Bombyx mori: one gene and its partners. The main gene of each other region encodes a partner of the protein of the gene in region 2 in a complex. Links are inferred from orthologs where the notes say so. Each region holds a gene or a part of one and is shown on either strand. Other genes may lie near its edges.

The links. The genes of interacting proteins can lie anywhere in the genome.
Region 1: splicing factor 3B subunit 3 (region 2) and zinc finger matrin-type protein 2 share a complex: the UniProt entries of both Homo sapiens proteins name them as parts of the spliceosome B complex. The link is inferred for Bombyx mori from reciprocal best matches to the Homo sapiens genes SF3B3 and ZMAT2.
Region 3: splicing factor 3B subunit 3 (region 2) and splicing factor 3A subunit 3 share a complex: the UniProt entries of both Homo sapiens proteins name them as parts of the 17S U2 SnRNP complex. The link is inferred for Bombyx mori from reciprocal best matches to the Homo sapiens genes SF3B3 and SF3A3.
Region 4: the proteins of splicing factor 3B subunit 3 (region 2) and ATP-dependent RNA helicase DDX42 are in contact, whole or in part, in a cryo-EM structure (PDB 7EVN), measured with the Homo sapiens proteins. The link is inferred for Bombyx mori from reciprocal best matches to the Homo sapiens genes SF3B3 and DDX42. Residues at the interface, in NP_036558.3 of Homo sapiens: Glu159, Ala160, His161, Tyr211, His219, Val220, Val221, Arg222, Lys223; in NP_031398.2 of Homo sapiens: Lys145, Gly146, Ile147, Arg148, Asp149, Asp150.

What each region holds. Positions count from the first base shown.
Region 1 is NC_085128.1:9,737,962-9,741,123, reverse strand, and holds zinc finger matrin-type protein 2, read left to right. Parts: upstream 1-1,201; 5' UTR 1,202-1,404; coding exon 1,405-1,519; intron 1,520-1,606; coding exon 1,607-1,848; intron 1,849-2,299; coding exon 2,300-2,539; 3' UTR 2,540-2,590; downstream 2,591-3,162. UniProt on the Homo sapiens protein: Involved in pre-mRNA splicing as a component of the spliceosome.
Region 2 is NC_085117.1:14,815,494-14,819,552, reverse strand, and holds the start of splicing factor 3B subunit 3, read left to right. Parts: upstream 1-1,201; 5' UTR 1,202-1,362; intron 1,363-1,619; 5' UTR 1,620-1,642; coding exon 1,643-1,868; intron 1,869-2,294; coding exon 2,295-2,465; intron 2,466-3,808; coding exon 3,809-4,003; intron 4,004-4,059. UniProt on the Homo sapiens protein: Component of the 17S U2 SnRNP complex of the spliceosome, a large ribonucleoprotein complex that removes introns from transcribed pre-mRNAs.
Region 3 is NC_085112.1:8,797,957-8,802,044, reverse strand, and holds the start of splicing factor 3A subunit 3, read left to right. Parts: upstream 1-1,216; 5' UTR 1,217-1,558; coding exon 1,559-1,654; intron 1,655-4,088. UniProt on the Homo sapiens protein: Component of the 17S U2 SnRNP complex of the spliceosome, a large ribonucleoprotein complex that removes introns from transcribed pre-mRNAs.
Region 4 is NC_085114.1:15,057,950-15,062,193, forward strand, and holds the start of ATP-dependent RNA helicase DDX42, read left to right. Parts: upstream 1-1,372; 5' UTR 1,373-1,721; coding exon 1,722-1,963; intron 1,964-2,115; coding exon 2,116-2,206; intron 2,207-2,778; coding exon 2,779-2,945; intron 2,946-3,213; coding exon 3,214-3,454; intron 3,455-4,244. UniProt on the Homo sapiens protein: ATP-dependent RNA helicase that binds to partially double-stranded RNAs (dsRNAs) in order to unwind RNA secondary structures. Unwinding is promoted in the presence of single-strand binding proteins.

The sequences.
Region 1 (3,162 bases), on a different chromosome or scaffold from region 2:
CGATACATTTAAAAAGTTTACTACAAAAAAGGTAAAAATGCAACGTAGGCCGCGAAAAAAAATTGCGATGTTTATGGACCTAGTGCTGTGTCTGTGAAAGTAGCACAAAATTGGTTTAAGCGTTTTCAATACGAAATTTTTATTTTAAGAATTTGTACGTCGCTCTAATCGAATCTTTTTGAAAAAGTGAAAGTGACTGATCGCATCTTTTTGAAAAAGTAAAGCAAGATCGGCATATCAGTAGTTACGACGTAGCTGAAGAACTGGGAATTGACTACAAAACAGCTTTGGCTCATTTGAAAAAAAATAGATACACAAAAAAGTTCGATATTTGGGTACCTCACGAGCTCACTGAAAGAAACCTAATGAACCGTGTACTCATTTGTGATTCTTTATTACGACGTAATGAAACCGAACCATGTTTGAAGAAGCTGATAACTGGTGATGAAAAGTGGATCACGCACGACAAGAACGTACGAAAAAAGTCGTGGTCAAAGGTCCGTCAGGCTTCACAGACTGTGGCAAAACCTGGGTTAACTTGCAACAAGGTGATGCTGTTTGTGTAGTGGAATTGGAAGGACATTATTCATTATGAGCTGTTACCACCAGGCAAGACCATTGATTCTGAACTCTACTGCGAACAACTGATGAGATTAAAGGAAGAAGTTGAGAGAAAGTGGCCAGAATTAATCAACAGAAGGAGTGTGGCTTTTCATCATGATAACAATGTGACCTTACACATCTTTAGCCATTCAGCAAAAATTAAGAGAGCTTGACTGGAAGATGTTAATGCATCCGCTGTTTATCCGTATATCCGTCCTGACCTTGCACCTTCAGGTTTCCACCTGTTTCGGTTCTTCAGAATTCTTTAGGCAGTGTCAGATTAACATCACGAGAGGACTGCCAAAACCAATTGTCTCGGTATTTTGATCAGAAGCCCCAAATTTTTTATAGCAATGGGATCATGTCCCTATTTACAAAATGGCAAAAAGCTATCGAACAAAATGATACCTACATACTTAAGTTAAATGTAAATAAACTATTAAAAAAATTTGTTAATTTTCTTAAAAAATGCGAAGAAACTTTTTCCCCAACCTATTATATTAATTTTCATGTAACTGAATATATAAAAGATTAGGCTGTATAATATATATATGCTTTCGCCTTTCTTGTTAGAAAATGGAAATACTACAACTAATCATTTGTCAGTTTTGTCACTGCTAGTTGTCAATTAGAAACATTTCGTTTGTGTTGTTAAGGATGATTTTCTCGTGTTATTTTTTTAATAGATCTAATTGATTACTCTTCCCTCTGGGTACACGTTTAATATAAAACAAACAAGTGGAGTGTGTAAGAAAATCATAACTTGTAATTGTTGTGAAATAAATACTATAAAATTTAAACATGAGTATGCGCCCCGATGACCACCGAAGAAAATGGGACAAAGAGGAATTCGAGAAAATTGCAGCCGAGCGTTTGAAAGCAGAGCTAGAAGAAGAAGAAAAATCCAAGAAGAAAGGTAAAATATTTGTGTCAACACACTTTGTTACGTTAAAATACAAATTTGACACAATATATAAATGTTTGTTTAATTTTCATTTTCCAGCCACTCCAGTCAAACGTGAACTTCTCAAACAACGTGAATATAAAGTAGATTTGGACTCGAGACTCGGGAAGAGTGTAGTAATCAATAAGAATACGCCAACGTCCCAATCTGGAGGATATTATTGTAATGTTTGTGACTGTGTTGTTAAAGATTCAATAAATTTCCTTGATCACATCAATGGTAAAAAACATCAGAGGAATCTGGGAATGTCCATGAAAATAGAAAGGAGCAGCTTAGATCAGGTGAGCTTACTTTTTCACATGTATGTATATGCATAGTACCAAGCAGGTAAATAGGATTGTTGACTTGCTACTAGATTTATGGTCTGAGATCATCAATTGGCCACTGTTGCATCAAAATAATAACAAACATCATGAACCAACGCTATTATTTTTGTGATTGCCTGAGTTGAGCAAACCTACCATCCCACTCAACTAGAGCACTCAATATTAAAATAATTCTCAACAAATTCTTTCAATCTTAATTTTATCAAGTTCTAATGCTATTGTTAAGGAATAATAAATGTAAAATGTTCAACCAAATAGATGATTTAAATTTCTAGACCACTAATTTGAAATAATCTATCTAACTCATCTAGCTGTTCTCAATTTTATAAATACCATTCAGGTTTTAATAATATTTATTCTATTCTATCATAGCTACTACTACTACATTATATTTGTTTGGTTCCAGGTAAAAGCAAGATTTGCACTCAATAAACGAAAGTTGGAAGAGAAAAAGCGTGAATATGAATTAGACACAAGATTAAAGGAAGCCGCTGAAGAAGAAGCTCGTGTGAAAGAGCTACGTAGGGAGAGACGTCGGGACAAGAAACGGAAGTTAATGGAGAATGATGAAATAGATGATACACCAGCACCTTCTGAATTAGCACAAATTATGGGGTTTTCTGGCTTTGGAGGATCTAAAAAATGATATGTTTTAAAATGTAAAGCTTATATTAATAAATACTGTGTGGTACAATAATGTTTCATTGAATGTTTTAATTATTATTTGGCTAATAATTCTATTTGCCCTGACCTTGTTTTATCAAGGTATAATTATGAACTTTGATTTAGCAGACAGGATAATATTACCATATTTATTTGGAAAAGGCTAGAAAAAACGACACCATGTAAATGTAACATGTTCCAAATGCTTTTTCCAATTAAAAAATATAAATTATAAGGCTACAATGTCCACTACCGGACTTGGTATGAGGGCATGTTTTTCATGTGCTAGATGAAAGCTTTTCACTGACTCCAGTAGTCCTGTATATGTCAAAACTCACATCAACTTTAGTTTTTGGGATTTGGGATTTTGGGATATGTAAATCGCACGTGACTACTTTGACTGACTGACTTTTCGAGGACAATAAACAATTCAACAACAAAATCAGTTGGCTGGGCGTTAAAAGAGCGCTCATCTCTCTACTCTAAGTCGTTTCTGTTGAGTCTGGGCTAAGATAACGATCTCGCCCAAATCTATAAATTAAAATAAGACATGACTTAAAGGTCTTAGTCACCAGGTCATAAAATACCTTAAAAAAAGAATTTTAT
Region 2 (4,059 bases):
TTATGCGATTGGGTGATCAGCTTATAATGTTCATGTGGATGACGGGATCTAGGTTGAGATGTCTGCTCGGTAATTCCTCAACAGCAGGTAGAGTTTTGAGCTCGTCTGCCAAACGGCATTAATAAAATAAAAGATACAAAACATAATGCAGGGACAACACATAGCACAATTATGGCCTTGCAAACCATTATGCACGCAGCGATTCTACTTGTTTTTTTTTTTAAAATAGATTGATCATCGGAGTAACGGACCACTTGGTGTTAAGATAAATCGATTCCCTCGCCCACCTTCGTACATGATGTACAAATCACAATAAAATCTATCCTTAATTCCGTTCAGAAAACGCTCTGGCGGTACCTAAATAAATACATAATTATATATTTATATGACCAAAGGTACAGAAAAGGTACAGTTACAGTTACAGAAAAACAATACAATTTTCCATTAGGCTTAAGGACTCTAGAAGATGTACAGCCTATTCGCCAATTCTCAAGAAGACAGCAGGGTGCCTCACCTTTGGACTGACAGGCGCTCACTGGGCAGACAGAAAAAAATAATTGCGTATTCGCTCAGCTATCAAAAAGCAGAACGGATAGGGAGATTTGTCTACTGCCGCCCTACCGAGGAACTCTACCGAGATTACTGAACCGAGGCCTTAGTCAGGACATTGTATATCTCCGACGACCTTTCAAAATCAGTCGGAAATAATTACGTTGGAAGCACGTTGCATTGCATTCACTTTATGATTTGGCCCTTTTTTCACGTAACAATTTAACACAAAGTGAGCGGTGAGCTCGATGTCTGTAACTAGGAAGAATTTGAGAGAGAGATCCTTATCAAATCTCTAGTGAGATTAGATGTGTCTTAATACGTGTAATTCCGAATAATTTAAGTAAATACATTTAATATAACTGTATTTTAACTAAATTAATTTTGATTTTATTATTAATAAAACTTTTGTTATTAATGAACTAACATTGAAGCTTTATTATCTATTAAGGTAAATTAAAGTTATTTTTATTGTCTATTTAAATATCTCATTGCATGTTATGTGGACTGCAATGGACATCTATTGACAAAAAATAGCCGTTGCTCATTCGTTGAAAGCCTGTGCTACAAGTTTCACTACCCAACAACAGATGGCAGAAAACAGCTACTAAAATATTTCTTATATGGCAACATTCCTCTATAAAACTCGACGCCATGATGCAAAATCCTCTCATTTGATTGGTCCGTGAAAACGAAGCTCAATGGCGTGCTCTGAATCCGCCATTTTACCGGCAACTGCTTGTGCCGGTTCACCCGTGAAAATTAAATACTGCATCGAGCCGCATTGCGGCCATCAATTGCTAATATTTAAAGGTAATCTTTTAATTCTCTCGTTTTGCTAGACTATGATGCATTTCAATTTGTATTTGCACTAGGTATCTCCACGATAAATTATATATTAATCGTGGTCGTTTTTTCGGTGCTATAACAGAAAGCTCACCCATTCGAAAGCACAAAATCCTTTCTGCTTTCGTCAGTTACGAGCCCTACATTTTAATTCCACACCTCTGTTTCAGTTGCTTAATTATTTGAAAAGATAAATTAACTAACCTAACCCGATTTATTTTCAGGGATAGGTTAAAATAAGATCACGATGTATCTCTACAATTTAACACTGCAAGGTTCATCTGCCATAACACATGCCGTACATGGAAATTTCTCTGGAACTAAGCAACAGGAGATTATTATATCACGTGGCAAAACACTTGAATTGTTACGGCCAGATCCGAACACGGGAAAGGTCCACACATTAATGAAAATTGAAATATTTGGTGTAGTTCGGTCTATTATGGCTTTTCGTCTAACCGGAGGAACAAAAGGTAAGTAAACTTTGGCCATGTGACCATGTGGTCCATTGAACTGTGTAGCTTATCTCTTTTAAATTATCTTAATCCCAGAATTTCCTCTCAAATCCAATATTTTTACATTATATAAGATCGAAAATAACACTGCATCATCTTGCTCCATGTTTTTTATAACACAAAGAACATGGGATAACTAGATGCACAAAATATGGCCAAAGCGTCGCTCCTTGCATTTTCTCAATGTTGGGATGTACCGCAATGGAACAAACTAATCCTAACAGATAATGTGAACTTTTATGACTCTTGACTTTGTAGCATGCTTAACATGATAGATTATTGCACACATTATAAACGCAAAAATAACCTAAATCTCCAAAGTTATACCTAACCCTGAACTTACGAACAATAGAACACAACATTAAAATATAGAATTTTCTGCAGATTACATTGTGGTTGGTTCTGATTCTGGACGTATCATCATTTTGGAGTACATCCCAACTAAGAACATTTTGGAGAAAGTCCATCAAGAAACATTTGGTAAATCTGGCTGTAGGAGAATAGTTCCTGGTCAATATCTATCAATTGATCCTAAAGGAAGAGCTGTTATGATTGGTATGGACTTTTTCATAATACCTACCTCTTGAATCAATTTTAGTTTTGGGTTCCAAAAGAGTAGTTTTGGAATGCTGCAACTAAAAATTACAATTAACCTTTAGCACTGCTACAAAGCCATAAGACTTTCTTCTCGTCTCGAAAATCTGCCAGAGTTGCTGATATTCAGTGGTACAAAACGTGGAGTATTAAATTCTAATGCCCGTATCTTTAGACGTTTCGTCAAATAGTCCTCTTAACTCATCCGATGATGCTCGAGCATTCCTCCCAAACTTACTCGAGTTTGGTATTTTTAGTCGACCATTACAATATTCATCAACTGTCCTCGAGTGAGGTAATAATGATTAAAATTTGATCAAGCTTGACTTTATTTATTAGGTAGTAAGCAAAATATGACTCTTATGTAGGTAAATAAGGAGTTTCAAATATCTAACCACTAGTCTAAACAAGAGTCTAACCTCGAACTATTTACTTTATTAATAAAAATTATCAAAATATGTGCGAATCATGCACAGATCCAGGCCATTGCACAACAATATCATATATTTCCATTTGCGGTCCACATACTATTTGGAAATTGATAGAAAACCAGTCTTGAGGAACGTTCATGGTACGTCGCGACGTACCTTGACTTGACAGTTCGCTTACTTCACTCCGATTAGGAAAATTTTCCAAGGACGTTTGAGTGGAGTTTATTTTTACGACTAAGCATACCAAAACGCGCGTTGGAGGTTGAGTCGAGTCAAGCTCGTGTAAACGACTAAAGATACGGGTGTAAGATTTGTTTTCTCTGATTTTGGTTTATTGAAGGGAAACTAGTATAAGTTTACTTAAGCACTGTTTGTGCATACAATTTCAATTGGACCTTTTGTAATTTAATTTGTTTGTACCTTTTAATGTATACTGTAAATTTTTATTGGCATTTATGGTGATGTGAACCAATAAACTGGAAAATATAATTATTAAGATAAGTAATAATGGGACTCTAGTTATGCCACACATGTGATGCATTGATTTGAGACCAAAAATCGCACATGTCTTTTTTTAAGGTGATTATCTCACTCTAAAATCGAAAAACAGGTTTACTGTTTTGAAAACATCAGTAAAAAGATATAAATATCTTAATTCCAATGATGCTTGGTCAATCACTAACTTTTGGTTATCTCTGAAATACTGTCATTTACAATACCATACAATAAAAAAAAAAAAACAATTTTCACTGTCTGATCTTATAAAACTGCTTTTTGTACTTTGAATGGTACAATATTAAATTCATTACATTCCAATTTATTTGCTCAAATGAAATTTACAAAATCAGTACTCAAAGTTTATTTAAATTTTAGGTGCAATTGAAAAACAGAAATTGGTATACATTTTGAATAGAGATGCAGAAGCTCGACTAACAATATCTTCACCACTTGAAGCTCACAAGTCAAACACACTAGTTTATCACATGGTTGGTGTTGATGTTGGATTTGAAAATCCCATGTTTGCATGTTTGGAAATTGATTATGAAGAAGCTGATTCAGATCCTACCGGTTAGTAGTAATTTGTTAATTGAATGTCTTGTCATGTTTTGCTTAGAATTTCATAT
Region 3 (4,088 bases), on a different chromosome or scaffold from region 2:
GCATACAGCTGGACACTTTAATTTTTTCTCCCTTATGAGATGATTCTCCTTACCTCTTCCTTCTAGAACCAATATGCATGTCTTTAATGTTGTTCATATTTCCATTCGGAAATTAAAAAAAATATAATAATGATTATATCTCTAGCACTACATAAATGTTTTCATTGTATTTTATGAATGATAGCTTCGCCATGGCATGATGATTTAGATATTGCATTGCGATAAAAGGTATTTTTTATCAAATTATACGTTGTAATATTCTTCCATTTGCTGTTGTAGGCAGCTCATCAAACAACCCACCTGGTGTTGAGTGGCTGTAGTTGCTCATGGACTTCGGAAATGCAGGGACTTCGAAAAAAAAGCCGATGCCTACCGAGTTTTATCAAAGATCTCGAGACTTGTCGCAGTAATCTTATGGTTCAGTAAAACAATAAATAAAAACTAAGTTATATAATTAAGATAAATTATCTTTGTTACTATTAATTCAAACAGCTATCTGGTTTAAAAGACTTAAATCCAGGCCCTTAAAAAAATCCTAGTTGTATCTCTATTAATATCTATGATTTTTAGAACAGACAAGATTGTATGGGTTTAGATCTCTTTGCTTTTCCTAGTAAGGAAAAATTGTACCAAAAAATATCTATGCAGTGTGACCATATGTGGCAGGATCTTGCCATTTTGGCAGGATTGGACTCTTACACCGGTCACTCACATGCGCACGAATACGCAAACCCGCAAGTGTAGGACGACATTTGCAAATGATTATGCAAAGTTTTCGCCACATTCGTGGTTTTCCAAGCTGTGTCGGTTTTTAACAGACATCAAAGCGCGCGAACCGCGAACCTTCGCGTAGTCTCTCACACATTCGTTTGCCCAGTTGCGCCGACGATTGCGAATGTAACGGACGAATCGCCATTTTCATAGTTTTTCACGTCTACTGTGTAGCGTATCTTCATCAAAAGAAATCCCATAAAAACCGCATGGCTGTTAATGATGTCTGGGAAAGAATTCAAAACTCTTTTTCTCTTCAATGTTCTATTGACGAATTAAAAAGGAGGAGAAATTCGTGAGACATTCGTAAACAAGTGTAGGAGGAAGCGCAAACGGGTTCGCAAATTGAGTATGCGAACCCATTTGCACGGCCGCTAGGTTTGCGAATGAATGTTTGACGGCCTTTCACATGCGCGCAAACATTCGTACAATGTACGAATATTTGCGCGCATGTCAGTGGCCGGCATAAGGCAGGATCTATAGTTAAGAGATGGTCACACTGTATCTATGGTTTACGTATACATTTCATACATACTACTTCAATGAATAAAATATATCTAAAAAACGTTGATGATTTGATTCTTCATTATTGTTATTATCTAAAATATTGATTTCAATACTCAGTAACGTAAATTTAGTACAGTTGATTCAACTGAGTTGAAGCATATTTTGTATGCTACCATATATTTTCTCACATAATTTAAACTTCAAAATCATTAATCATTATTTTAATATTATTGTATTTTACAAGGTGATTGACATAAAACAATTTCTATAACCTTTAAAAATGGAAACAATTTTAGAGCAACAACGAAGCTACCATGAGGAAAGGGAAAGAACCATGGACGCAATGGTCAAAGAAATTCTTCACAAAAAAACTGGGGTAAGCCATGTTACATGATCACTGTAGATTGGATTTACCTAAGGGGTGCGGGTGCCTTATTGAGGTTAATAAATTAAAAACAGTTGCTTGATGTTAGCTTATTGAAATACATACACACATGAATACCCCTTCAAAGATTTTTTTGTTTGTACATTAAGGTGAAACTTAGTAACAATCACCTAGTACACCTATTGCACATAGTAATATGGTTACATTTTTTGTTGTATTTATTTTTTAGAAATGAACTAAATGTATTTGTTTAAAATTAAATGTCTAATTCTGATGCATTTAACATTTGAATGAACTGCTGAATGAATGGTACCTTTGTTGTATAAATTCAGGGCTGTTATCGAACAGATGAAACAATTAATAAGTTAGTTTTGTTATGAAACTACTAATTACAACTTAGATTTTTTACATTTTTAATGTGATCTGCATTGTTCCATCTATAACAATGTTTCAGCTTGATTTATTGTTGATTTGGTTTGTCCCATTAGGGACACCTTGTATGGTACTATTAGGCACTACAACTTTGTTAGTTTCTGTCTTGAAGCTATTCTACACACCAGTCAGAACTGAAGCCTCTAGTAGACTCTTATTTTGTGGCATTAATGTCTTAATGTACAAGTAACCATTTAATACTATTTAGGCTGTGGGCTTATGCATTATTTCTTCTTCTTTTTCTCCACCTTATCCCACTATGTGGGGTCGGCACAGCTAATTTTTCTCTTCCATTCTCTTCTATCAGCCGTCATCTCAACACTCACTCCTCTCTCTCTCATATCGTCATTCACACACTCCATCCATGTCTTCTTTGGTCGACCTCTTCCCCCTCTACCTTGCACTACCATTTCCATACATCTCCTAGTCACATGCATCTTCTCTCTACGCATCACATGTCCATACCACGCTAACCGTCCGCTCCTTAATTTGTTGTTTACCGGGGCCACTTTCACACTTCCTCTGATATACTCATTCTTTATCTTATCCATTCTTGTCACTCCACACATCCATCTCAACATTCGCATCTCTGCCGCATGCACTCCTCTTTCATGCTTTGCTTAACTTTCGTCGCCCAACACTCAGATCCATACAGCACGACAGGTCTAATGATCGTTTTGTAAATTTTGCCCTTGAGCTGAAGGGGCATTCTACGATCGCATGCTGTTGCAGAGACCTGTCGCCATTTCATCCAACCAGCGTTTATTCGATTTGCGACGTCCCGGTCTATGTTGCCGTCGTTCTGGAGTATAGAGCCGAGGTACTTGAAGTCGATTGGCGTGAAGTCTGAAGAACCACCAAAATCACAAAACATGTGCTTGGTTTTTGTTCGACAGATCTTCAAACCCACGTTTTCCAACCTTTCTTTCCATTTTGCCAATCTCCTCTGTATCTCAGGCCCTTCCTCTCCAACGAGAACAATGTCGTCGGCGAACAGCATACACCAAGGCGCCTCTTCCTGTATGTCCGATGTTAGGGCATCCATTATTAGGATGAACAGGTAAGGGCTTAAAGCTGATCCCTGGTGTAAGCCTACCGCCACACTGAACTCGTCGCTATTGCCAGCTGCGGAGCGTACGTACGTACTAGCTCTACCGTACATAGCTCGAACAAGCCGTTGGTATTTCCCTGGCACTCCTTTCACTTTCATGCTCCACCACAAAACCTCACGGGGAACCCTATCATACGCTTTTTCTAAATCAACAAATTGCATTATTATGTAATTACATATCATCATTATCCTGCCCTTCTCCCAGTCACCTGGGGTCGGCGCAACATGTTTTCTCCTTCCATACTCTTCTATCATATACCATTTCTTCGCTCACTCCCCTCCTACCCATATCGTCTTTCACACAATCCATCCATTTCTTCTTAGGTCTACCTCTTCCTCTAAATCCTTCCACATTCATAGTTAACACTCTCTTAACAACCTCATTTTCATTCCGTCTCATCACATGTCCATACCATCCCAAACGTGCACTCCTCAGCTTCTCTGTCACAGGTGCCACTTTCAGACTTCCTCTAACATATTCATTCCGTATTCTATCCATTCTCGTTACTCCACACATCCATCGCAACATTCGCATCTCTGCTGCATGCAATCGCCTTTCATCCGCCACTTTCGTTGTCCAACAAGCTGATCCATACAAGACGGCAGGCCTTATTAAGGTCTTATATATCTTCCCTTTTAGGGGAAGAGGGATGTGCGAGTCACATATGGTGCCCGTGACCTGCCGCCATTTCATCCATCCTGCGTCAATTCTGTGCCTCACAGTACGATCCAGTTCACCGTCGCTTTGGATAACAGACCCTAGGTATCGGAAGTCTTGACATACTGGCAAAGGTGTTCCGTCGAGGGAAATGGGTGTAAAATTGGAGAGACCGCCAAAATCACAGAACAGATGTTCGGTTTTCGATCTGCTGATTTTTAGGC
Region 4 (4,244 bases), on a different chromosome or scaffold from region 2:
CTATACCTCGTCGTTTTTATGCGATAGAGGTCTAATAATTTGTTACAAATTTCGCTGTATGTAGCTATATCGAAATCAGGCGTTAAAGCTACTTTTAATTCGTGGAATATCTCTGGTGTTAGTAAATTCAGAAGCAAATCTTTCTGTAAGTCGCTGTTATCGATATCAAGAATTTTGCATTTGTTTTCGAAAAAATCAATGTAATCGTCAATTCTGAATGTATCTGGGTTGTATTTATCCATATTGAAATTTTTGATTATACTTATCTTGTTATCCGTATCATGTTTTGTAAAAGAGTCGTTCGTCACGCTCTTGGCTGTTGTATTGCAAGCTGCTGGTACCAACAATTTCAAGATTTGTAAAATCTGCTCCTGCTGATTTTGTTGTGCATGTAAAAATAATGCGAATTGTTCATCGTTCATCTTAATTTCTTTTAACTCGTCGCCAATATAATAATACAATGTTTTCAAGACATAGCATAAAATATAATAATGATAGATGGTAAAAATGACAATGTGTTCGAAGTATATTTCAAATAATGGAATATGGAAAAGAAGGTTACAACAATAAACTTATAAAAAATGTAAATAATCGCAAGGGTCAACCACTCCGCACTGCAATGAAGCAGCCTCACCCTGGGGAAACCACCTGCATGATCACGGCATCCCTACGCCTGGTAAGTATGATTTCGGAAGAGAAATACGAGAACGTCATCAACTGTGTAACATCTCGTCACTGCGATTCAGGAATTGTTGAATTTACATGCAGCGACATCCATTGATAACAAACTAAATAGAAATAAAAGTATCTCAGGGCGCTCCGAGAGTTACGACAGCGTGCACAGACATCAAAAACACACTAACTAGTCGGGGACGCGTAAGCTCACAATATCAAAATCAAATTTTAAATAATGACTTTGAGCAATAATTTCGTTTCATTTCATTTCTGATGGAGTTTGAATATAAATGTAATGGCAGGCAACACTTGACACATAATTACAGATTTCGAATATTAGAATTATTTTAAATATTTAAAAAACAGATGATTGTCTTCTCGTAAGAAAAAGTCAGAACTTCTCATCTAGACACGGTCAAAGAAACATGTAAGAGCTTTATAAAAATATAAAGATAATAATTTTATAATGGTGTAACAGTGTTCAAACTATCTGCAATATAATTAGAATGAAGAAGTGTGTTTTTAAATAGCCCCTCATCACCTACAGAGCCCAATCCCGTCAAATTTAACCGTCCAACAATTTCATCTCATTTCATTTCATGCCATGTTTCATGTTAATTAACTTCATTTCACAAAATCATTTTTCATTTAAAAAAAATACCAAAAATTAGGGTGCATGGTATGATACCTTTGCCTTTCCAATTAGAAAACTAAAACTACTAGTACCTAGATGTCCTAGACTATTTAGGACTAATATTGCTTAGCGTTTGATACTCTTTGGCTAGACTAAAAAAAATTGATAATTCTCAATTTATGCATAGTATACAGTTGCTTGCCAATAATATATTTAATTATTATTTGATACGTAGTAGGTACGTACCTACTTTGAAATTGTCATGCATTATAATTGACAATGGGTTCATGTTTACCTCTAAATTGAAGGAAACAATATTTATGATATACAGGAGACACATAACCTTATAAATTGGCTTGAACACTTTTCTTGACTTGAACAATTTTAATTTTGTGATTAAATAAATATCGCAATGAGTTATCCGGGCGGTGGTGGTAGAGGAATGGGGTTTGCCGGCTTCTCGATGCCGAAGCGAAACCCTTCGAATGTGTCTCTCCATGCTGTGCCGCCTCCAACGACGTCTATGCATGCTGTCCCACCGCCTTCCAGTGGTCTTTCAAAACAAGGATATTCTACAATGAGTGCTATTACACAAAATGCTGTAACTGGCACATGGGGTACTCTTGGGAAGAAACGCGCCAAAACCGAGGATGAGTAAGAGCAAAGCTTTAATTTGTTAAATAGAGTAGAGTGATAAATAAAGTAGAATTTTTAGATTAATATTCTCATTTATCTCATTATTCTCACAAATTTTACAAACACATTTATGTTTTGCTCGAAAACGATACCATGACTCTGTTTCGTAGGTATTTTGATGATGATGATGAACCTCCAACACCAGCGTTGGCTTATATACCTGCACCAGGAAGCCCTACTAATGCAGCAAGCAGTTCTAGGGTAAGTATGTAGATGACAGCTAGAATCTGTCCTGCTTATGATGATATTTTATAAATATGTAAACAGATACATCTGGTTAGTGACCGAGACTCATGGGTTCAATAGTTCTTGAAGTCTAGAATTGGATATTTTATCTTCAAAATTTAATTCTGCCAATTTTTTATTTATTTATTTATTTAAATTGTAATACTGTTCTTAGTATGGTGTTTTTCAGCATCAGTAACATCAGTTGGCTATGATCATCTAGTCGTTTCAGCTACTTAATACGGCTTTGATTTGTTTTTTTTTTATCCTTGACAATATTCACTTCGAAATTAATGAGCTGAAAAATACATGATCAATCAGCAGCCTATTTTAATGGGAAACAAAAAATTGCAATTGTTATCCTACCATTAGAATACATAATACAGGATTACATTGCAGCAAAAACAGCTCAGCGAATTGTACCACTCGTAGAAAAATCTTCTCATCATTAACAAATATCATGACTTAAGATTCTCTGATTAAAATGCCTGTCAACTGTTGTATGCAGATATAGCTTATTGAATTATATTTTTTTTACAAAATTGCAGGCTGATGATGATGATGAAGATCCTCTAGATGCCTACATGGCTGGGTTGGAACAACAGGCAGCTCGGGATTTGGTCACCAGTAAGGAGAATGCAGCCAGCGGAAAAGACAGTGTGAGAGGTACTAGGGGTGATATTGATGATATGGATGATGAAGAGAGTTATTATAAGTAAGTTACTTTAATTTTACGTTCATTGTTTTTTGTTAATTTAGCTGTAATTACGTCCAATTAATTTATGGAATAAACCTGTAAAAAAGCTTATCTAGATCTTATAAAATCTTCAAATTGCTTGATGTGATCTGTTTGTAAATATTTGTTCTTCTGGTTATGTGGATCTGTAGAAAATCGACACCCTTGAGGTGTGGTGGAATCTTAATGATATACAATGCAAAGCTCAACTGATGTAATTATTAGTATTTTTACATTAAACTTTTAGGTATATGGAAGAAAATCCTCTGAATAATGCAGATGACACATCTGATGTAGAAATAGAATATGATGAAGATGGCAATCCTTTAGCTCCAGCGAAGAAAAAGTTCATCGATCCCTTACCTCCTATAGACCACTCTGAGATAGACTATGAACCATTTGAAAAGAACTTCTACACTCCTCATGAAGATATTGAAAAGCTCACACATCAACAAGTTGAGGAATTAAAAAAGAATTTAGGTGTGAAGGTATGTTTAATATTGACATTTTACTAATGTTTATAAATTCACCTCTTGTGAGTCCGCACGGGTAGGTACCACCACCCTGCATATTTCTGCTGTGAAGCAGTAATGCGTTTCGGCTTGGAAGGGTGACAGCAGCTGTTGAAACTATACTGAAGCCTCAGAAGTCATATCTCAAGGTGGGTGGCGGCATTTACGTTGTAGATGTCTATGGGCTCTGGTAACCACTTAACACCAGGTGGGCTGTGAGCTCGTCGGCAATAAAAAAAAAGATTAACAATGTGTGCATCGGAACTAACGTAGACATATCCGGTTGCCTTGTAAATTCGCACAGTCGTTGTTATTACTTTAGGGAAAGATTTTGACAAAACATCATTATTGTACCATCATTGGCATAATAATACTCTCAATAGATCTATTTTATAAATTATAGTTACAGAAGAGTGGTATGATGCTGGGTTTTACTGGTTTATAATAAAAATATTTTGTAAATTACTGTTTTAACTGTATTTTTATTGGTGGTAGAGTTAACATTGTTATTTATATTTTGACATTCAACAAGTGTGTCATACTGACATCTAAGTTTAAATAAACGATTTTAAATTTGATTTAATTTATTTGTTAATGTATCCACAAATTTACACAAAAAATATTTAATTTAGAGAACCCTCAATACAATCCCAAGTGGCTAAAGGGTGATAATTATGGTGGCATACACATTATGATGTCTTTCTTGTCTACACAAAGTAAAGGCTGCTGCCCACTCACCTTACGACAGTATTATTTTATAACACAC